Struthio camelus: one gene and its partners. The protein of the gene in region 2 interacts with the protein of the main gene of each other region in a pairwise test. Links are inferred from orthologs where the notes say so. Each region holds a gene or a part of one and is shown on either strand. Other genes may lie near its edges.

Region 1 (6,833 bases), on a different chromosome or scaffold from region 2:
TACACTGGAAGACTAGAAGCCATTGATTTAGATCTCATGTACACCATAACATCCAAGTCTTACACTTTGGTTACCAGCTTAAGACTACGCAGCACTTAGGCTTTGGCCAGTACTTCACAACAAGCCAACTCGCCCAGGTACAAAGCACCTTACAAACTGCACCAGAAGATTCTGCGGACGGACAGAAGAGGATAAAACTCTGTAGACAGAGGAATTCTGTCAAAAGCCATTCAAAACATACAGAAAATATTTCCTTACCTGAAGCTCTTCATTATCCAACAGTTCTCTACTTTTTCTTTGCAGAAAGACTGCTCTAGATTCTTCTCTTAATTTCTGAAGCAAGACTTCATCTTCAGCTGGCAGCTAGAAACATTGTGGCATTTGAGTTTTCTGTACAGAAGTAGTATTCAAAAACTAGAGAGCTAGCAAGTATTCTTAATTAGACCTGACTCAAATCTTCTGATGCTGTTCCACTCCACAGAAAATATTGAAATATCTACCAGAATGCTGTGTGGTATCTGCTTCTTCTGGATAGAGAAATATCACTTGCATGCTGTCTCAGATTATTTTAATATTGAAAGAGATATTTAAAGCAGGACATCTTTGACATGAGAAACTGAAAAAGACCTACCGCACACCTGATAACCCACCTAGTAAGCTCTTTTCCACAGCTGCCCGACAGGAGGGCTCCCACATAGAAGACTTTAGTACTGTGCTATTAGTCAGAAGAGAGAGGAGTGCCTTCTATTTCATGGTAGCCCTGAATCTCAAAGATGAGACCACCTACTAGACAAGATCGTCTACCAGACGAGAACAATGAGAGTTGGCAAGCAGGATGGATGGGAGGATGCCTACTATGAAAGTTCTGCTGATGTTTACACGAGAAGCTGCACAGCACTACCAGAATTTGAATGGTTGCATGCATATTCAGCAACTGAAACAAAGGCATTTGAGAATTTCACGTTCCTAAGGAATATCCTTACACAGAGGTTACACAGTAGTTGAGCAGTTGTGTTGACAAATGGTAACAATACCAAAATGTCAGACTTGTGCTCTTGTTCCATTTCTGCTGGATGATGCAAGCAGCAGCTCTGTCTTTAGTCTGCCAGATCAACAACATACTCTCTTCATGAATACCACTGTGCCTAAGCAGGAATAGGAGGATGTGTATTTTATAACACTGGTATATCAAAAATTAGGTAAAACAAGAAGCAAATTTCTCTGAACGAGGACTTTATCATTTTATTCAACAGCCAAGCCTACTTCCTGTTAATAGTAGCATTAGCAAGCTATTTCATGGCCTTTTATAGGATGCTTAGCAATTAATTATTTTAAATTGCTGAAATCCACAACTGCAGACTGTGGTTTAGCAACCCACACTGTAGGCTTAATAACCCACATTTTTCCAGATCTGGATCTACTTAAGATACTGGGGCTGAAAGACCCCTTTGAATATGCATAATTTCCCTTTATAACGCAGAGTAGTCTCTGGTTTAAGTATTAACCGGATACCTCACTTACCCTGTAGTAAAACCGTGGTATGTTCGTATATGATGTATTGCCACTTTTTCTTCCTCCTTTCCATTCCATGTAGTATTTTGTGAACAATTCCATTTCTTCATCCTTCAGCTCTTGCTCACTCTTTTTGGCTGATTAATACAAAAGAGAATTTTCATACTGTACTCCAAATATACAGCATTTCAATGTAACTAAGAGCTTGAAAAAAGGAATTGACCTTGAGTTTTCTACAACCATGCTGTTTAATAACACAGTTATTATGAGGAACTCAGATGAAAGTAAATGAAGCACATGCCTATCACATAAATTAAACATGTACACTGAACATGTTATACATCTGTTCTACTCAAATATCGGCAAAGTACATTTTCTAGTAACTGCACATACCTGATACGATATGGTTATGTGGTAAGGACACAAAGGTGGTTATGACTGACAAAGCAGCAACAGTCTTGCTTTTCAAAGGTGCTTTTTTTTTTTTTAATCATTTTTAAGACTGCTTACTACAAGCAGTAACAGCATATCACCTTTCAGTCTTGCAGGCATATGACCATGCTCTTAATCTTAGGAGAGTTCTTCGTGCATTCATTTAAGAATCAAGAGTTACCAGCCAAAGACATAACAGGTATGTACTAGAGATAAACCAGCCTTCGCAAGACCCATTTCTACACGGCTACACAAGCTCTGCCGTGCTCCTCAGCCTGGAGCCTTGTTAACGCTAACCTCTAGAACAGAGGCTCATATTTGTTTCTCTACAAAGTGAGTCAAAGCTGCTTTGTCTTCTCATCAACGCGACATTCGACGCTCGCTGAACTAAAACGACCGGCCAAGGCTTAAGGCTTGCATCAGCGAAGGACTCGCCCGCGCCTGTCCCGCCGTGCGGGGCGGCGGCGCGCAGCTCCCAGGGCACCCCCGCGGGGGGCGCCGAGCGGGGCTCGCCGACAAGCCCCTCGCCTTTAAGCACGCTCCCAGGCGACGCCAAAGCCCCCCGCGCGGCTGGTCGACAGCGCATCGCGGGCTTGCCGCCAGGGGGACGGAGCCCGCGGGCGGCGGACGCCGGCGGGAGCGCCCCCTCCTCTCCCCGCCCCGCCGCCGCCCCCCAGCGGCCGCTGGCGGCTCCAACGCCCCGCGGCGGCCGTTAAGGCGCGGCGAGGAGCGACGGGCAGGGAGGGGCGGAGCTCCGCGCCGTGAAGGAGAGACTGGGCCGGGGCCCGTGCCTGCCGCGGCGCCAGGCGCTGCCCCCGCCCGGGCCGGCCCGGCTCCCTGCTGCCCGGGCCCGCGACACTCACGGGCGCTGCGGGCGGCCAGGCGACCCCTCAGGCTCCGCTTCCAGTCCATGTCCGCCGCGGCCGCCGGCCCCGCACATCCGGGCTACTCGCGCCGGGGCCACGTGACCGGCACGACCCCGCAAGAGGGCAAGACCTGTGACCCAGCCTGCCAGTCCTCGGCGCATGCGCATTGCATGACTGTGCCCGCGTAACCCCCACCCCCTCCCGAAGCATTGTGCCCATAACTGATATGGCAGTACAACCCGCTACCGGGTAGCGTGCTGTGCCCTTCTCTGATTGGGTATGTGGGATCACGTGTGGCCCAACACGCCCCACCCATTAATCTCTGATTGGCTCAAAGTCCAACGCACCCGTGCTCGGGAAGCAGTTCCGGTCTGGGTGGCGGTTAGTGCCCTGTCAGTCGCATGGCTGCCGCCACCTTAAGCCCCACCCTGCTGGGATGTTGTAGTGCCGAGGTACCCATGGCTGCCGCGCACTGTTCGAGGTGGGTCCGTCCGCGGAGAGGTGACGGCGCAGCCCAGTCGGGGACAGCGCTTTTTGCCTTGATGCGGGGCCCGGGGTGGGGGGGAGGGAAGAGGAAGCAGGAGGAGCTGCGTCTCCCAGCATGCAACGCGCGGCCCGGCGGCGGGCGCGCTGCACGCCGGGAGCTTTAGTTCCTAGGGGAAGGGGAGCCTGCCCGCGCCCGTGCCCTCGCCCTCGCCCTGTGCTGGCGCGGGCCCCCCGGTGGGTGCCGGCGCCGAGCGGGGGCCTCCGTGTTCGCTGTGCCCGGGGCCTGGCTCGAGCGGGGGCGGCGTCGGGCGCTGCCGCCGTGGCCGCGCACCGTCCTGAGCCTTCCCGAGGCAGCGTCCGCCTGGGGCGTGCGCTTGCGGCTACCGCAGGCGGTGCTGCCCTCCCGCCGTGGCAGCGATGTTACCCACAGTGTGTAACGGGGGGCACCAGCTGAGCTGAAGTTTGTCATGGGTTAAAAGGCGTGAGGGAACTAATGCAGGATTCCCGTGTTGGGAGTCTGTTACCAGCACTTGGATTCCTAACCTAAAATTGTCTCGATAAACATGGCTTTTGCGTTGGCTAGCGTGTAGCTGTAAATGTCGCAGCAAAGACTTATACTAAGCGTGAAGCATGTTATGATGTTATTCTTTGTAGTGGTATTCTTTATTTTGTTTATTTTTAGGAAATCTGACTTGACTTGGATGAAGACAGGAAAAAAGCCCTATATTTCTTGGATAGCTGCATCAGTGTTGCCCATTTCTGTACAGCAGCTGTATTACTTAACAGCATCCGACAAACAGAAGCAATAAGCTGCAAACCTGCAAAGCAACTTGTCTAGGAAGAAAGATGCCCTAATTTCGGAAGCATGTTCTCCTAGTTTAAGACATCCATTTTTGTGAAAAAAGATTTTACCATTTTTTGTTTTCCTAACAGGGTTGAAAGAATCACAGGATAAGCGTTTTGAAGAAAGAGTGTAATGTATACAGCTTGATAGCCTTAAGACTTTTATAATAAGCCTTCCTATGTGAATTGTGTTTTTCCTTTTTCTTTAGATATAGTGAGCTAGTAGTGACATAGTTTCTTCTTATAATGGCACGCTTTCCTCAAACTAGCCAACAGGGTATGCAGGCTTTGCTAGGGAAATGTCGTGTATTGTGGCCTCTTTCAAGATGCCAGCAGCTGTTTGCTGTCTCTTTCAATATCGCCAACAGGGAAAAGGTTAGCTATTTCAGTTTTATGACATCTTCCAGCACTGCATTGCCAGTGGATTCCAAAGGAACTGAGGCTTTTCCTACTAAGAAAAGGTCTGAGATTCAGTATGAAGGAGAAACAGCATGGGATGAGGAGAGTAAAAAAATATCTGAAGGAAAACTTCACTTTTATTCCTCTGGAGCTCCGAAGAAACGATTAGTGAGTCATGTTCTGTCAAGGCATAAATTTGTCGAGGTCCAGCCTCCAGAAAAGCCTTTGCAGGCCGAAGAATGGAGTAGGCTGAGGGAAAACTTTCGATCACCTGAAATATTTGAAGATGTGATGTTTAACAGTATGGTCAGGTGCAACAGCCCCATAGATGTGGCCAAGTCCTTGCTGACTTATGTGGCGAAGACTGATGGTGACATTAGGTATAATTTGTTGGTCAAGTACCTGGCGTTATGTGTCCAGCAAGGGAAGACGGCAGAGATTTGTGATGTGTATGATATAATGAAAATCAGATTTAAGATATTAGAAAGTGGGGCTTACAACCTTCTTATCAGGGGGCTGAGTAATTCAGATCAATGGAGAATGGCCTTGACTCTTCTGGAAGAAGTAAGAAAAGTTATGACTCCCTCAAGAACAAACTATGAATCCTGTATCAAAGCGGCCAGCCGTCACCAAGAAATGAACCTGGCATGTGAACTTTACCATGAGATGCTGGCTAAGGATTTGGTGCCAACCCTGGATGTCCTGCAGGCCTTTTTTGACTTCAGCAGGGGTATGAAAGATGCTGAGTTACAAAAAGAGCTGTTTGGTATCCTCTTGTATTTGAGAGAGAACCAAATATACCCTCACAGAACATTTATGCGGAGTATAAAGCTGTGGTTTGAAAGGTAAATGATGTTTCAAAAGCAAGCTGCAGTTCATGAGGATAGGATTCAGGTTATTCCACAGATTAAGACTAATAAAATCCCCCAGCTTCTTATTTTATGGTGTTGCTCCTTGAGAAGCATACTGCCATGAAAAGCCGCATTTCATTTCTGCTCCAAATGTACAATTTTGATTGATACCTCTTCATAAGAGTTTTTACCTTTTAAATATCCGTTCTTGGTACAAAAAGTAGGAAACTTTGGTGGGTCATGGTGGCCCAAAATCTCTTGATTTTTATCTCCTCTCATTGAGGTTGATACATAAGGAATACTGACAGATATGAGGGTTGTTTTGTTTTTGGTTTTTCCCCTATAATCCACTAGCATAGAGAAGTAGTAAGTTTGGAAAATGAGAAAGTTTCTGTCTTTAAAGCAAAGAGGCAGTAAATTCTGTTATAGACCCTCTTGGTTCTCTTCTGAATCCTCTCCAGTTTATCAGCGTTCTTCATATATTCTCAATACTAGACCTGAATACAATATTCCAGCATGGGTTGCTGAAATGTAGTAAAAAATATTAGGAACGTCATCAGTTTAGCTTAGGTAAAGTGAAGACTAAGTGTTGTCCTCACATAAAAATAATGAGAGAGGTTAAATCTGGTTAGAAAACTCTTTGTTTTAGCACAGTGTTTGGCAGGCCACAGTTTGTTTTCATGAACAGTGGTGGTCAGACTCTGCAAATGCCTCTGATTGTGCTGTGTATGCCCAGTGTGTAGTTCACTGGAGCTTTCTGCACACGCATTACTCTCTATTTTTGGTTTAGTTTGTGTGGGCTGCACAGCTATCTTACAGGTTAGCTCTTGGTGAGAAAATACAGCTGTGGGAACGCGCTGCAGTTATTAGAACAGTATATACTGCCCTGCCCTACCTGCTTGCTTTCTTGGGAACAGGTAGGGAACAGACAGACAGACTAAGCTTCAGTCAAGCTGAACTGTTTGAGTGGATGAAAAATCTGTGTTGGGCTGCTGTTTTCTCAGAGAGTAGAACTTACCTGTGGGTGTATGCTCTATAGTGCATTTGCAGGAAACTCAGCCTAGTAAGAGGACTTGGGGAGATGACTGCAGGGCCAGTCTGTATGTTGTCTAAGAGCTATGTGTTACCAGTATATGATGACAAAAGAGTACTGGAAGCTGAAGCTAGACAAACTAGTGTGTGAGAAAGAGGCACAGAATTTCCTGCTGCTGTTGTCTTTGTAAAAGACCTAAAGAACCTCTACGTGTCAGCAGGAGAACCAGGAAAGGAGTGGAGAAGTGGGGTGGTTATTCCAAAGTCCATGGCACATGTGATTGTACAGCCTACCATTATAAACATTCAACAGAGGGAGAGATGTCTGCAGTTTAATGTTGTCATGGATATGACATATTCTGTTTTAGTTTTGTGGGCAAAAATGAATGTTTCCGCCAGGACTGTGGTGGTG
Region 2 (6,858 bases):
AGGTCTAGCTGCGTTTCTAGCTCTGCTTGCAGCAAAGATGCCTCCACCCTGCTGCACGGCAGACCCTGTGGAGGTTTCCCATAGGGGACAATGGAGTGGTTTTACACTCCTCCCACAATGGATTTTGTGACATTTCCAATGTCCTTGGGCACAAATGCCCATGCACGACTGTCCCACCAAAAAGAGAGGCCCCTGCCAACTATGTGGTGGAGACCGAGGTCAGCAGCAACTTTGGGCAGGCAGCCAAAGGCCTGGCGAGAGGCCATGATGCACCTTTCTGCAAGGAGCATGGGACAACAGACAGCTAGCACAGAGGATCAGCATTTGACCCATCTGCAGATCAGCAACAGCTACTCTTGAAGGCTAGCACTACCCATCCAGCTTGCGTTCGGGCTGGCTCAGCTCTCTTGGCCCGTGGCTGGGATGGTCCCGGGCTGCTTCACTGGGAAAGGTTAACCCCAGGGCCCCACCAGCACATCCACCACTCTCTTCTCCTTCAGAGCCATCATGTTCGCTGCTCAGAGGCCCACCTTTGAACTGCAACATGCTACTCTCCTTAAAAAGCCAGCGCCCCGCAAAATAATAAGCGATTCCCTTCTGCCTTGACGCCCTCACTATGGTTACTAAAAGGCCCATCATGTGTCCTGCATCCTTAATGCCAGTGGGGCTGGAGGGCCCCGTCCCCTCCTCTCCATCGCTCCCGCCCGCGATCTCCCGTTCCCGTGGCAACCCGCTGATGGAGAGGCATCAGGATGCAGAGAAAGACGCAACAATCACACGCCACCCTCGTGCTATCGTTTAGGATATTGATGTTTAAATCTCCTGAGATTAGCCGGGTATAATTGCTTTATGGAAATGGAGACAACTCCTGTGGTGGAGCTATGTGGGCTGTCGGGGGCGAGAGCAGGCCCTCGGTTCGTGCTTCGGCGGGCAGAAAAGCGGCGAAGGGGCATCGGAAGGGCATGAGCTCAGCTACCGCCTCCGCGGGCAACGGGTGCCGTTGGCAGGGCCATGCTGGAGATGGGCAGCGGAGCAGAGTTTTCCATCCAAGTGGATGGACATGCGGTGCATAGATACTCCCAGCCAGGCACGTGTCCCACCAGCCCACTGCAGCTCTCCTGGTCATTCCCACATCTCCGGAGCAGCGCGCGTCCCCGTTGGGGATCCCTCAGGTCCAGGCTGGAGCAGAGGAGGACCTCAGCAAGGGGAGGCTAGACCCGCTCTCCAAGGCGCAAAGGGACAAGCCTTTGCTCGATGGGCTGAGACCACCAGTGGTTTGGCAGCTGCGAGCCCACCGCACGCCTCGTCCCCGTAAGCGACGGCATCCCCTCTCCCACGAGAGCCAAGGCAGACGCGTGGGCCCGCCAAACCCTCCATCCCACGCGCCAGCCAGCTCCTGGCGGCCTGCAGATGCCAGTCAGCAACAGCTGAGGAAAGCCCGTCGCTCGGCAAGCAGCATCTGCCGCTTTCCCCGATCCAGACAGCCACGTTGAACTGCGAGCAACCGCACTAAAAACCGGCATCCAGCCGCCTGCCCCACAGGTTGGGGTTTCTAGCATGGAAGATGCCCAGCAAGCAACAGTTTGCTTTGCACGCTCGCAGAGTGCTGCAGATGGGTTTTGAGGAGGCATCAGGCCAGCTGACATCACCTTGGTCCTTCCCCAGGCGATGGGCCGGGGCTCTGGCCCGCTTGCCTCTCGCCAGCCACCCGTGCGCCTGCCTGGCTCCTGGCTGCGCAGCTCCGAGCAGCCCGAGGGAGGGGGACGCATTCGGCAACGCGGTGGCAAAACCAGCTGCGCAGAGCCAGGCGTCGAGAGCTACGCGCCCCCTCCTCGCCAGGCGGTGCCGAATTTGCTCTGCCCCCTGGCAGGGCTGTGGGATCCCACCTAGGCACCAGCGCTAGCAAAGAGCGTCCTCCCTCTTAGCACAGACCAAAGCACGGCCGGCTAATTGAGTCCCCTGGCACATGCATAATGCACGAGGAGCCAACTTCTCCTTACCCCAGCATCCTGTTTTATTTATTAAAACGCTCTTTTATTTATTATGAGATCATCTCCAGACCCAGGCAGCGTTACCCTGTGGATCCTTTGACATCACTTTATACTTTCAATATTACCAATTCTTTCTTCCCAGCGCTCCGGTAATGCAAAGCGTCCCGTCCTCTGGGCTCCCCGGTGCTGTTTTAGACCTCGCATCCCATTGGCGAGGGGTCTCGGCTCCTCTGCCCGCACCGAGGTCCTATCCCAGCCCGAGACGCTCCCATCTCCCGTCCCTCCGCGAGCGGGTACTCACACGATGACGTAGGGCCGCGGCGCCCGGCCCTCCCGAGTGGCCGGCAGGTTGCTGGCGCCGTGCAGGGTGACGGTGACGGCCTCCATCCCCTCGCGGGCCACGTGCCGCTGGCCAGCCTCCGGCACGCGGGCCACCTCCTGCTCCCCGGCGGGGGACTCCGGGACCTGCTGGGAGCGAGCGGAAGAGACGTCGGGGCCGGCGGCACGGCCGGCTGCTCCGGGCTTCTCCGGCCAGGCCCCACGGAGAGCGGATTTGCTGGCGATTCGGGCCCTTCCCGCTCCTGCCGGTCCACCCGGACCCCTCTGCCCCCCCTTCTAGCTGCACCGGGCATTTTTGCAATTTAAGGACTCTGCAGGAATTGGGATCGCAGCCTAACGCCGGGCAAACGGAGGAGATGCACGGCTCCCCCCAGCTCCCGCTCATTAATTCGCACCAGCTGATGTGATAAGACACAGCAGAGCTGCAAGCTGCTGTTTTTCATCCATGGAAGCGGGGGGGGACAGGACCGTGCCCGAGTTAGTCACAGCCCGCGCGAGCCAGCACGTTTCTCCTCCCAGCTGCTCCGGTTTAGCCCCGCACCCACGCCTGCACCGTGCCCCCTGCCAGGGCGGCGCGCACCGACGGCATCAAACGCAACAGGCTCAGCGGCCGCCGGGGCGCCGCTAGCAGCCAGCGGGCTGGCGCCGGCCACAAGCGACACGAGCGCGGGCGTCCTCAGCTCAGCCCTATGGCGGCCGCATCTCGAAGGCGGGCGCCTCCGCTGGCAGATGGAGCCGCGACGAGGAGCAGCAGGCTGGGCTCTTCCGGACGCTGCTGTCAGCACCACGCTGGGGCGAGCCAGCCCCTCCGCTCGCCCCTCCTCACTCACACGGCAGCTGGGGCGGGAGGAAGGGAACAAACAAATTCCCAAACCAGAGGGGCCTTGGAGCTGTTACAAATCCTCATTGCAAGAGGGGATTTTTCCCAGCCCGTTTGCACCAGACACAAAACACCCCCGGGTGAGAAACCCCCAGGAGCCCGTGCCACCCGGCTCACCTCTGCCGCACAGGTGCTCACACCGGGCTACGGCCCGCTCCCCCCGAGACCTCCCCGGAGCACAGAGGGACGCCGGGCTCTGCCGCCGCAGCCCTGGCCAGCAGCTCCGGCCCCGACGGCCCCCAGCACCCCGGCTGGACGCGGGGATGCTCCCCGGCATCCGCCAGCAGCGCAGCCAGATGAGGTGCTAATGAAAACCTGACCGAAGCTGCCTTCATTTGCAAGTCGAGGAGGCGCAAGGATTTTCCGTCAGCCTCCCCCCGCCGCGCCGAAAGCGGGGACAATAACCTGGGGGAGGACGGCTTCCCAGCAAGGCCGGCCAGAGGCTCAGCCAGCACCCGCGCAGGCGCAGGACTCCAAGCTCACGTCTCCCGCAGCTGGTTGAGCCTCCCAAGGTGGCTCCTAAACCCAACAGGATAAACGTGCCTGCCCGCACCAAGCCGGGGCCGAGCGAAGAGCTGCTCCTCACCCCGCAGGCGTCGGGCTGGCTGCAGACCCCGCGGTTCGCTGGCACTGCTCGCTCTTCCCGCTCCGACATCCGGCCAGCGGCTGGGCCGCAGCCACGGTTCTCGTCTGCAGGCCACCAAAGAGGCAGAGCAGGTCCCTGGGGCGCGGGGAAACTGCTGCTGAGCGTGAAAATCACCAAACCTACAGTGCCAACCGCACGGTAGCGGGCCAGAATTTGTGAGCAGCCCTCCGACAGGCTACAAAACGCAGCAAGGAGAGCCCTGAGCGACCCTCCGGCCACAGCACAGAGCCGCGGCACTTCTGGGCACGACCCCAACCGCGCAGGGGAAGAGCCAGCAGGCGCCGAAGCCCCCCACGCCACGCTCCCCGTGCCCCGCACTGCGCCCACCGGGCTCCGCGCGGCATCATCCGCCCAGCCCAGAGCTCAAATCACTGCAGCTGACTTGCCACAAGCCACTCGGACAGGTCGGGCTTGCCACGCGCCTCACCTCCGCTCGCGTGCCCTCCAAAGCCAGGGAGCGGGTTTTATTAAACCGCTCCCATCTCCCAAGGGGTTAACACCCGGTCAACACCGCAGCGGGTTTCAAACCGTTCGGAGCAAACCCGCTGCCCGTCCTTCCCACCGCAAGGGGTTAAAGCCGCTTCGCCCGCCTAGCACCTACCCCCTTCCTCGCCCCCCAGGGCTTTTCAAAACCCTTGCTGCAAATCCCCTCCGACATGTGTCTTTGGCTCCAAACTCTTTAATGAGGGGCTTGTTCGTCCTAAGCCCTCTCCTTTGTCTCCCCGCCGGCCGTCTCACTCCAGCGGAGACGGAGACGCTGGGACGGGGCTGGCAGGCGGCGAGGTGAGCGCAGGGTGAGGCGCCCAACCAACGCGTGCCGATTACGGGATTGCCACCCAGCCACGGGGTGCTGGCCGCCCCGGGGATAAACATCGCGCAAAGGGCAACCATGCTGAAGAGCTTGCTAGTCTCCTTGCTGAGGAGCAAGCAGGAGAAGGCGGGGAGAACGAGCATAGGAGGTGCGTGTGGTTTTGGAGAGAGAGGAAAAAAATAGAGAGACTGAAAATAAATGAAAATAAATGCATTTCTTCCCATCCAGAAAGGAAAAATTCAGGTAGCTGCCCAATGCGAGGCCCTGGGCTAAGGCCCAGGCAAACACATCGCAGCCCTTCCTGGAGACGCTGGAGAGTTTATGCACAAGCCCCGTTCTGCAGGTGGGGAAACCGAGGCACAGAGCAAGCAGCGGCTTTAACCGCGGTCCGCTGCGGAGCGCGGGGATTTGTTCTGACCCTGGCACAGCCTTCATCTCAGCTTTGGCTCGTTTGCTTGGGTTTTCTGCATCTTAGCAATATTAATTTATGGGTTTCCCCCTCCAGCTCCTCGCGCACGTGCTCGTTTCCGATTGATGCGTTCACAGCGCCCTTGGCTAAAACAGGCGCCGCTTCGGCCGCGAGAGGCAGGCCAGCGAGGAGGGTGCGCAGGGCCTCCGCGACAATGAAAGCGGCACCGTGGGAGAAGAGATGCTCAGAGGGGAAGCGGGGGCAGATGCAAAGTCACGCGATTCCCCCGACGGCGGGATGCAGCTCCCAGCAAGGTGCATAGCTTGGATAAACCTCACTTTCCCCTAAATCACCCCTGCCCAGGTGACAGGTCTGCAAGCAAGAAGGCATCTCCGCGGTCACGCTGAGGGCAGCAGAGCTGATCTCCGGAGCAGAGATCATCTTCCCCCTCCCCGCCGCTATTTTCCAGTCTTGCTCACCAAACCCTCGAGGACACGGGGTTGGCTTGTCCGTGCTCATCGCTGCCCCAGACCTCAGCTCCCTGACCCCTTCCTGAGGTGCTTCCTAAATACATCTCCGGAAGGAAGGGAAGAGGAGGTTGGGAGAGTATAAATATTAGCACAAAAAAAAGAAAAGCACGATTTCCCCCCCCCCCAACCCCTGTCACAACATCTGCACACAGGGAAAACTGCAGGATGGAGCAGCAGGAGGAGCAGGGAAGCTCTCGCTGGGGAACGCGGACTCCTTCCGAGGAAGCATCTGCTCAGGCTTCGGCTCTCCGCGTCCCCGCAGCAGGACACGGACGTTTCGCCAAGACCCGGGCGGCCCCGCTACAGCGGGCGGCAGGACGCGGCTCCTGACGTGGGACGAGGACGGGCGCCCACGAGGAAGGGCTGCGGCGGCAGGAGAGGGGAAGGCTGGGGGAACGCGGACCAACCTCAGCGCGCCCGCAAGCCTGGAGGAGGTACGTTAGCATCTACCCCGCTGCAGCTTCCGAAACGAGCACGAGACCTTCCTTTTTTCCCCCCGCTCTGTTGAAAACGCGGCGCAGTTGCTCTCTAGAGAGCCCCCAGCCGCTCAATAAAAGCCAAAAATCCAGAGAAAATCCAGCCGGCTGGACCAACGCAGCCAGCGAGACACGAGAAGACCTTCAGGCCTCGTTCTTGATGAGGAAGGAGACCTCAGAGCTCCCTGACGGGGCCCACGAGAGGCTGCGCAGGAAGCAGCTCAGCACCTGCAGCAACGAGGCCGGGACGAGCGGCCTCGGGGAGGACCAAGCGGAGGAGAAGCCCACGGCCCCAGGCCTCTCGTGCCCCCTCTTCTCCACGCTAGCTCAGCTTGCCAGGGAAGGCACCCAGGGACACAACTGGCTTGCATTAAGCATCGTTTCTGAGGAGCATTTGGGAGACACGCTGACCCAGCTTAGTTTATCAATTAGGCTGTGCTGGCTCTAGCCAGTGAGCAAGACAAAGCCCCCCAGCACCGAGGGCGGCTTAGCTCATGGGTACGCTGGATCGGTACCCCATATTTACCTAGCTCAGTTTCCGTGTTTCTGCTCATTTTTCCCCGTTTTCCCGGCTTTCTTTCACAATCCACGTAAATCCCGCACCGCTTTCTTGGTCTTTGCAGCCGTCGCTCGCGTTCACGCACCCCTGAAAAACCATAGGCACTTTCCTGCTGGCAGCGCAGCTGCGGCACGATAGTTAGCAGGGGTTTTAATAGAAAATTCACAAGCAGTTAAGCTAAGCAGAACTCGGCACGAGAACAAAACACGTTAAAAAT
Region 3 (7,476 bases), on a different chromosome or scaffold from region 2:
CGTGAAGAAACATATGCCATCTAGAACATTTAATGTATTAGATTTATTAGTTGCTATAAATGGTTTCAGCACTACAGATTCCATAAGAGCTCACACATCCTCGTATACCATCATCAAGGTGACAATGGCTTGCAGCGCCTGGATTTACTCTACAGTCACTATACAATACTGTTCTTTGAGTGACAGAAAGAGACCACTTGATGTGAAACTGTTACTGAATTACTTTGACAGTTGTCTCTCCTAATACATAGGACATTCATAGGATGATGGCTGAACTTAAAAACCTTTTTTTTTTTTTTTAATATTTGAGTAATTGGAGAACAAGGACAGTTCAATTTGGCAATAGCTATTATAGGACTTAGATAAAGTAAAAGGCAGATCTTCACTAAGAAGAAAAGGCAAGCACTGTGAACAGTTGGCTTGGTGAGAAAACTGAAATATAAACATTGTGAAAGGGACATACGTGTCATGTTTATCAGACTAAATGAACTAGATGAACTAAAAATAGCTGCTAAATAGAACAAAAAATAAAACTGAAATGCAGAGGTCTGTTTTTTTCCCCCCCAAAATAAAATTCAGGGAAAGGAACTGCACTTATTAATTACCATATGCCACGATTAAAATTCCTCCAACAGCCTCTACTGTTAAACTCTGCCTTCCAGTGTCAAGCCTGCAACAAAGATGCTTCATAAAATCATCAGCTTTAACACCTCATCAGCGCCAGACATGAGCAGCTGTCCTGCTGATCACTAAGGTCTAAAGGCTAATGTTATCATCTGGGTCAAATCCTTCCAAGTGCCCCTCCCAACAAAATGCAGGTTTTTCTATTCTGGATAAGCTCAACAAATTAAGAGTGACTTGACCCATCAGGGATTTCTTGAGCTTTCAACTAGCCATGAATTCACCAATTATGCTGTCTTAATCTTATCCACATTCCCCAAAGATGAACTAAAAAACTGTTGTCCCAAGGACTAGGAAGGTGGCCTGCATTTTTTCCTTTATGCTGATGCCACATAAAATATTTTAAAACTTTCACCATACTGCAATACTGCAACAATTTATAGTGAAAGGAAAAGAGTCCACAACTTCTCTGATGACAGAGGAGTTCAAAACCAAAAATTTTGATTTAAATGAATAGTTGGATGTACGAAAAAAGATTGCAATATTCCATTTTCATCCAAAACTTTTAAAAAAAGATTATAATATTGCTACTTTAATTTGGGTACAGTGCCACCACTTCACAATCAAGAATTAGCTTTACAGTTCCTTTATGCTCTCAGTCTCATACTTAAGCACAGTGCCCTGACACAAACAGTAAGCACTTTTATTTACTTGCATCAGTTTGAGATTAGGGTGCTCCCTTTTCTCTGAATCTCAGCATGTGCTTTTACAGCAGCAAGGCAGACAGGGTCAAAGAAAAAACAGGAACGCTGTCCAACCCCGTTTGTGTGTTACACCCTCACACCCATGAGGCGGTCAGACTCAAGACCAAGGGAGAAAGACCAGGCGAGGAGCCAGGAGGAACACGGCTGAGAAAGCTAGGATGGAGGAAAATGAAGACCTAGGAGAGAACAGAGCAAAGCGAACAGGCAACCTCATTTTGTCCCTCTGGATCCAAAGAATGAGCAAGGGCTCACCACCGTTCCTGACAAGACAACACGGCAACAGCATGTAAAATGGGCCGGAAAGAGCCTCCCTCTCTCCACCACAGAGACAGGTTGGAGTTGGGATCTGCAGCAGTCAGAACTGGGGATCCCATGACTCATCCTTGCAGCCCCATGATATTAGGGCAAGTCATCTAACTTTCAAACACACTGTACCTCTGGCAGCTGGGGCACAGAGCCAGATAAAACTCTCCTTGACTCTTGTATGACACAGGTTGAACTGTCACTCTCCATGCCTCTTATACACTTACAGGTTGGACAACTACCAAAAGAGCTTATGGCACTTCACAGGTCAGTATGGTGAGAATCACGAGAGCAGCAACCCAGTTCCGGGGTGCTACCAACCTAACCTGCCTCTGTGGCGCTCCGATGGTCCCTCCAAGGACTCAGCCTGTCTGCCTGATGCTGGCAAGGTTTCTGCCACAAGGGCTGATGGGAGATGGTGACAGGCTAGGACAGGCACCTTCCCAGCCATCCTTAACACGGATTATCAGGGGACACAGAGGGATGGGGCAGAACCAAACCCTGAGCACCACACTCTGGCACCTGCTGATGGCCCATGAAGCACAGCACCAGGCCCCACCGGTGAAGTCGCAGGAGTTGGTTTGGGGCTCACACTTGAAACACAGCACCGTGACACCTTCGCATCTTGGTCCCCACGTGTAAGACGAGGACGATGGGGAGCTCTTCCCTAACTCGACCACAGGAGAGGGCGGACCACCGGGGCCTTTAAAACACGGCAATCCTCCGAGGTAGGAGTGCTCCCTGCTCCCCAGGGGACCGCAGCGGCCGGGAGGGCTCCGCCGCAGCCACCTCGGCGCCCCCCAACCCCACGCTGGCCCGCGGCCTCTCACCTACCCACAGCAAGCGCGGGTGGGTTAAAACATGACAGTTAGCCAGAAAACTACACGCGAGGGGTGCTGCCCGGCAGGCAGGGAGGGAAAAATCCCACTGCTGGCTGCCGCATGCCGGGACACAAAGCCTGCGAGGAAACACCCGCTCCCCGGGGCCGCCGCGGGGCGCGCTCGGCGGAGGGCGCCGACAACAAGTGCAGCGGGCGGGCGGCCGGGCGGGCGGGAGCAGCTGCGGCCGCGGGGCAGGAGCCGCTCCGCCACCGCGGGGAGGTGGAAGGGGGGGGGGTGCGGCCGCCGGTCACCCCGCGACTCACTCACCCGCCCGTCTCGGCTCCCGAGTCCACGCACTCATCCTCGCCGCCGGGCTTCTTGTCCATGGTGGAGGCGTCAGAGCTCCATGGCCGCCGGAGCTGCTCGTCCCGCTGCGCCGTGTGCGGGCGGCGGCGGAGAGAACCGCTCCGCCGCGCGCACGCCCCGCTGAGGGGAGGGGCGGGGCGGGGCGGGGCGGGGCGGGGCAGGGCGGCGGCGCGCGCGCCCCCTCCCCCAGCCGTTAACGGCCGCGCGCGCGCCCCCCCTCTTCAGCCGTTAACGGCCGCGCGGAGCACTGAGGCGGGGGGGGAGGGGGAGGGAGCGCCTGCATCATGGGGCTCGGTGCTCCCCCCACCCCAAAATACCCCAATCTCGCCGGCAAAATACCTCGGGGCACCCTTGTTGCGCTCGCACGTGCTGAGGGATCGTCCTATTCCAGCCCTCACGTGTTAGAAACTCCTCATGCATCATCATGCCTGCGTTAGCAAGCACTGCCGCAGCCTCCTTATATCGCTGCTATTCTTCCAGTAGAGAGAAGGGCTAAGAGGTGTGGTGCCTGTATCTGTTGGAAGTTAAAGGCACCTGTCTCTTTGCTATCCATCTTCTTTTCATTTTTGGGGTAGGTGCTATCCCTGTCTTCTCTTTGAAGTCTTAGGCTGTGCTGAGCTTTCTCTTGCCCCCTGAGTGTCACCTGGCACGCACTCGTTATATTAAATATCATTATTTTGAAATGATGTGCAAAAACGGACAGGGAATGGTTTCCTAGCCCTGTGAGAATTTCTGTAATAATGAAGGAAAAACCACTTTGCTCTGAGGCTTCCAGGGGAGAAATACTGATGTAGCAAGACTTACCACTAGTGGGGCAGTTGCATTCAAAGAGGTTGAACTATAAGCAGGAAATGGGCTCCTGTATTCTGCACATCTCCTGCCCACCAGCCTTGTTTTGTATTTGAACACTTCTCCTTTTCTCAGTCACTCACATTTGGTGTAAATATTCACCAACACAGGGATGTGAACCTAGATCGCACTCAGCCAAAACGTCAGTCATTTGTTAGTCTGTTTGGTTGTTCAGGCCCGAACAGATCATAAGGGAAGGGGGCAGAACTGATTTGTCTCCAACCTGAAACAAATCATGCGTCTCCTGAATCAGGGTCAAGCATAAAGCTAAAAGTCAGTACTCCTGTGCTCCCTGCAATTGAGATGTTATGGGACGACTTAAAAAAAAAAAAAAAGAAGATGATGACTCCACCTTGGAAACTAGGAAACCTTTTCCATTAATGTTGTATGGAAAATTTCACCTTTGAGGAACTGGAATTTTCTCTCAAAAAATCACCAATGACTGCCTAATTTCTGTCAGCTGCAGGAGACAGCCACTTCCAGATCACAAGCAAAAAAAAATTAAAAAATAAGTATTTTGTTCCACCTTTTTTTATTTGTACCTCACAGGGAAGAAGGAAAATGATGAAAATCTCAGTATTTGAAACATAAAATACCAGACTGGACCAGACTGTAGAAATGCACTGTACAAGACAATCTTACATTGTCAAAAGAATTGCTGAGCTAGTTTAGTTGTCTACATAGTCTGACATCGATGTCCTTCATTTGAATACTGTCAGTAGTAGAGTGAGCCATGTGTAGGCATGCGCTAACACAATTTAATAGTAACAACTAACATCGTTTAGCAGGCTCAAGCTGTGTGTACTTCGTGCCACTGATGTCTCTAGTGGTGTATGGCATTGGCTCTCTAAAATAATCTATATGTAGCTAGGAACATTGTAAAATCAAACAGAAAGAGTGACTTGGAAACAACACCAAAGGTCTTTTTAGCACACTGTAGGAGCAATGAACATGCATCAACGCCGGAAATGCTCATAACGAAACTGCTAAGTCGATAAAGCAGTGAATTCCTGTTGTCCCACCACGGAAGGGACACTGAACTCATGTGCAGCCCTGGGACCTGTGGGTATCACAGATCAGTCCACTATGTATCCCCAGTGATATTTAGAAGAAACTTTCTAGTTCCTGTATCTATTCATCAAGTACTGGAAAAAAATCCTAGTGGTGTATGGGGACCTTAGTGTTTAAAATGTTTTGACTATCTGCCTTGATTTGCACACATGTCATTTTAAAAACAATATAGATGATTTTTCAGTTTATGTGGAGGGCTTAACATAAATAATATCCCAATAAAAATAATGCGCTAGGTATGGAAGAAGCCCCCTTAACTGGAGTCCCTCTTCCCTCTTTCCTCTAGCAAGTTACTAAATGCTAGTTTGGGCAAAATGCTATAAAAGGTTCTTGATACACATCAGTTCTATACTGGCATATGTATAATAGTTCCAAAAATACAAAAACAAACTCTTCCATCCTTCCTGACTGGTAGACTATACCATCTAAAGCAATTTCCTTATATGTGCAAAATTAAATGTGTGTAATTTTTTTTAGGGTTGGGACCAAGGCGCTGTGCCAGGCTGTGAGAATAACTGTGGCAGAATCTGGTCCTCAACTTCTTAGTATTGGAATCACCACATTCAGGTAAAAGGCCTTAACATGTTTTCAGACATTGTGTATTAAGTGATTTGCCCAAGGCAACACCATGGCAAAATTGAGACAAGAATTCAGTATATCTCGCTTCCCAGTTCGGGCTCCTGTTCTGAAACAGCTAAAGATTTCCTCTCTAACGACTGTAATGACTATGGAGGACACTGAACGTCCCAAAGGACATATTCAGTATTCTGTAGTACCAGCACTGCACAGACCCTGCTGTCTCTCTGATTCTTAGTCTACACACACAAATTTATTTAATCAGTACAACTCTATTTAAAAGCAGGTCATTCCCACTCACTTTTAAGTGTAATCTCAAAGTCAAATAAATTGAGTTTAGCCACTGTTGATGTGATTTAAGATGTAACCAAACCTTCTTAAATATTTAGAAATAGATTTAGTTAAAATGATACATTTCTGCATGTAAAATTTTAGGTGGTCAGCTAATACATCTTTTCTGTCTCTGACTTTTATTATCCTAGTTAGTTATGTTTAAGCACTGGCATATGAGAGGATCTGGAATAGATTTTATGCTGCATTTAGGATTAATTTACTCCATCTGTCCAAGGGAGGGAAAAAAGAAACATTCTAAAGAAAATATATAATTAAGACAGTAAGTAAAGCTACCACAAACTCTAGACTCTCTTATTTATATATTTGCCTCATTTAACTCAGTTTTATTCTGGTCTTTCACGTAATTATGGTGAAAAGAAGTCTTCTCTGCAATAAATTCTCGGCATTTCAGAGATTCTAATGAATGAGGTGTTATGTCCTTGCTTTTACTTAGCATTTCTCTGTTATCATTTCTTCACATTAGCTCTTCTGTATGGTCTGTTGAAAAAAGAAGTTACGTTTTATTTACTCTCTTGTATTTATGAGTCTGTGATACCAGTTTCAAGGTAAGGATAATAGTGAAAATATTCTTGGGTTAAATTTCCCCAAATTTCAAGCCTTTCATTAAGCAGCATTTAATAGCAGTGGTCACAAAGGCTGTCAGACATAAAAGTATCAGGAGAAATCTTCAAAGAAGCCAAAAAAATAAACCACTCTCTTATCAAAAAGTAATGGAACTAACACTGAGGACATGAAATTAATGCCTGTTCTGCAGAGAGTTCTCTTGCTGTTAGTTGTGTAGGACCAGATCTAAAATATAACTTAACTTAAAGGAGGATGTAAAGAAAATTTAAATGCCTGAGTTCGAATCTGTGATTCCACACTGTGGCTGATTAGGAGATGCCTAACCTTCAAAGGCAACTTACATTTTTAATTTAAAATTTTCAATATCCCTAATGCTATATGTCTAGAATTTACAAGGCTAACCAGTTTACCTCATACCAGAGCTGAGCAGTACCTAATTGCAACCACCAGCTGCTGAGACCTCCATCCTTGCAGAAGCAAATGCAGGCAGTAAAACCTCCTCCCACCTCCCTCACATAATGATCTTAGTCTTTAGTAACTGAGAACACAGTGCGGAAAAGTGATAGCTGCAGCCTTGAAGGGGGATAAAGACATCACGAAGAGCTGCGTGGATGAACCCATGTCAGATCATACGTGTGCTGAAGGATAAGAGGAAGCAAAAGCATCGATTTCCCTGATGAAGCCACACCTGGATTCAAATTTCAATCTCTTTTTCTACTCATGGAGTTCTGTCTACTTGTCTATCATCTTTCCTGCCTCAGCCAGGAGGATAGAGTGCGCATGGAAGAAAGAGTATGAGTCTGGTTCTCTAGCCTAAAGAGAAGTGAAGGAAGAGAGGTGACAGTTCCACTGCCCCATATGAATGTCCTAATGATTAAGGACACTTATGGGATGTTTCTAATCTCTTCCTTATATTTCTTTCTGCACAGTGGCAGAACTTCACTGTAGGGTAGAGAGAGAAGAGAAAATTGTAGTTATCAGGGCAATCTGCTAGGAAAAAAATATTTGATTCAGTTCTTTTCATGTGACATTTTGAGTCTCTTCCGTTCTGTGCAATTCCAAAAGAAAAGGGGGCAGATGCCACTGCAGTTCCTTCTGCATTACACTATAAATTAGTGAGTCTTTCTAGTCTTTGAAAAACAGAACAGAGATCTGGCTTAGCAGATGATTCAGGACTGTGGACCCAA

The links.
Region 1: the proteins of CCDC33 (region 2) and PPP2R3C interact in a two-hybrid assay, tested with the Homo sapiens proteins (2 studies listed by BioGRID and IntAct). The two-hybrid records come from large-scale screens. The link is inferred for Struthio camelus from reciprocal best matches to the Homo sapiens genes CCDC33 and PPP2R3C.
Region 3: the proteins of CCDC33 (region 2) and FAM124A interact in a two-hybrid assay, tested with the Homo sapiens proteins (2 studies listed by BioGRID and IntAct). The two-hybrid records come from large-scale screens. The link is inferred for Struthio camelus from reciprocal best matches to the Homo sapiens genes CCDC33 and FAM124A.

Annotation. Positions count from the first base shown.
Region 1 is NC_090946.1:55,310,415-55,317,247, forward strand, and holds the start of PPP2R3C (serine/threonine-protein phosphatase 2A regulatory subunit B'' subunit gamma), read right to left. Parts: upstream 3,004-6,833; 5' UTR 2,857-3,003; coding exon 2,808-2,856; intron 2,597-2,807; exon of another isoform or gene 1,906-2,596; intron 1,650-1,905; coding exon 1,522-1,649; intron 364-1,521; coding exon 259-363; intron 1-258. Other genes in the region: PRORP (mitochondrial ribonuclease P catalytic subunit), read left to right, coding at 4,386-5,383. UniProt on the Homo sapiens protein: May regulate MCM3AP phosphorylation through phosphatase recruitment. May act as a negative regulator of ABCB1 expression and function through the dephosphorylation of ABCB1 by TFPI2/PPP2R3C complex.
Region 2 is NC_090953.1:23,678,160-23,685,017, forward strand, and holds the start of CCDC33 (coiled-coil domain-containing protein 33), read right to left. Parts: upstream 3,018-6,858; 5' UTR 2,624-3,017; coding exon 2,293-2,623; intron 1-2,292.
Region 3 is NC_090942.1:193,536,765-193,544,240, reverse strand, and holds the start of FAM124A (protein FAM124A), read right to left. Parts: upstream 3,004-7,476; 5' UTR 2,896-3,003; coding exon 2,837-2,895; intron 618-2,836; exon of another isoform or gene 606-617; intron 1-605.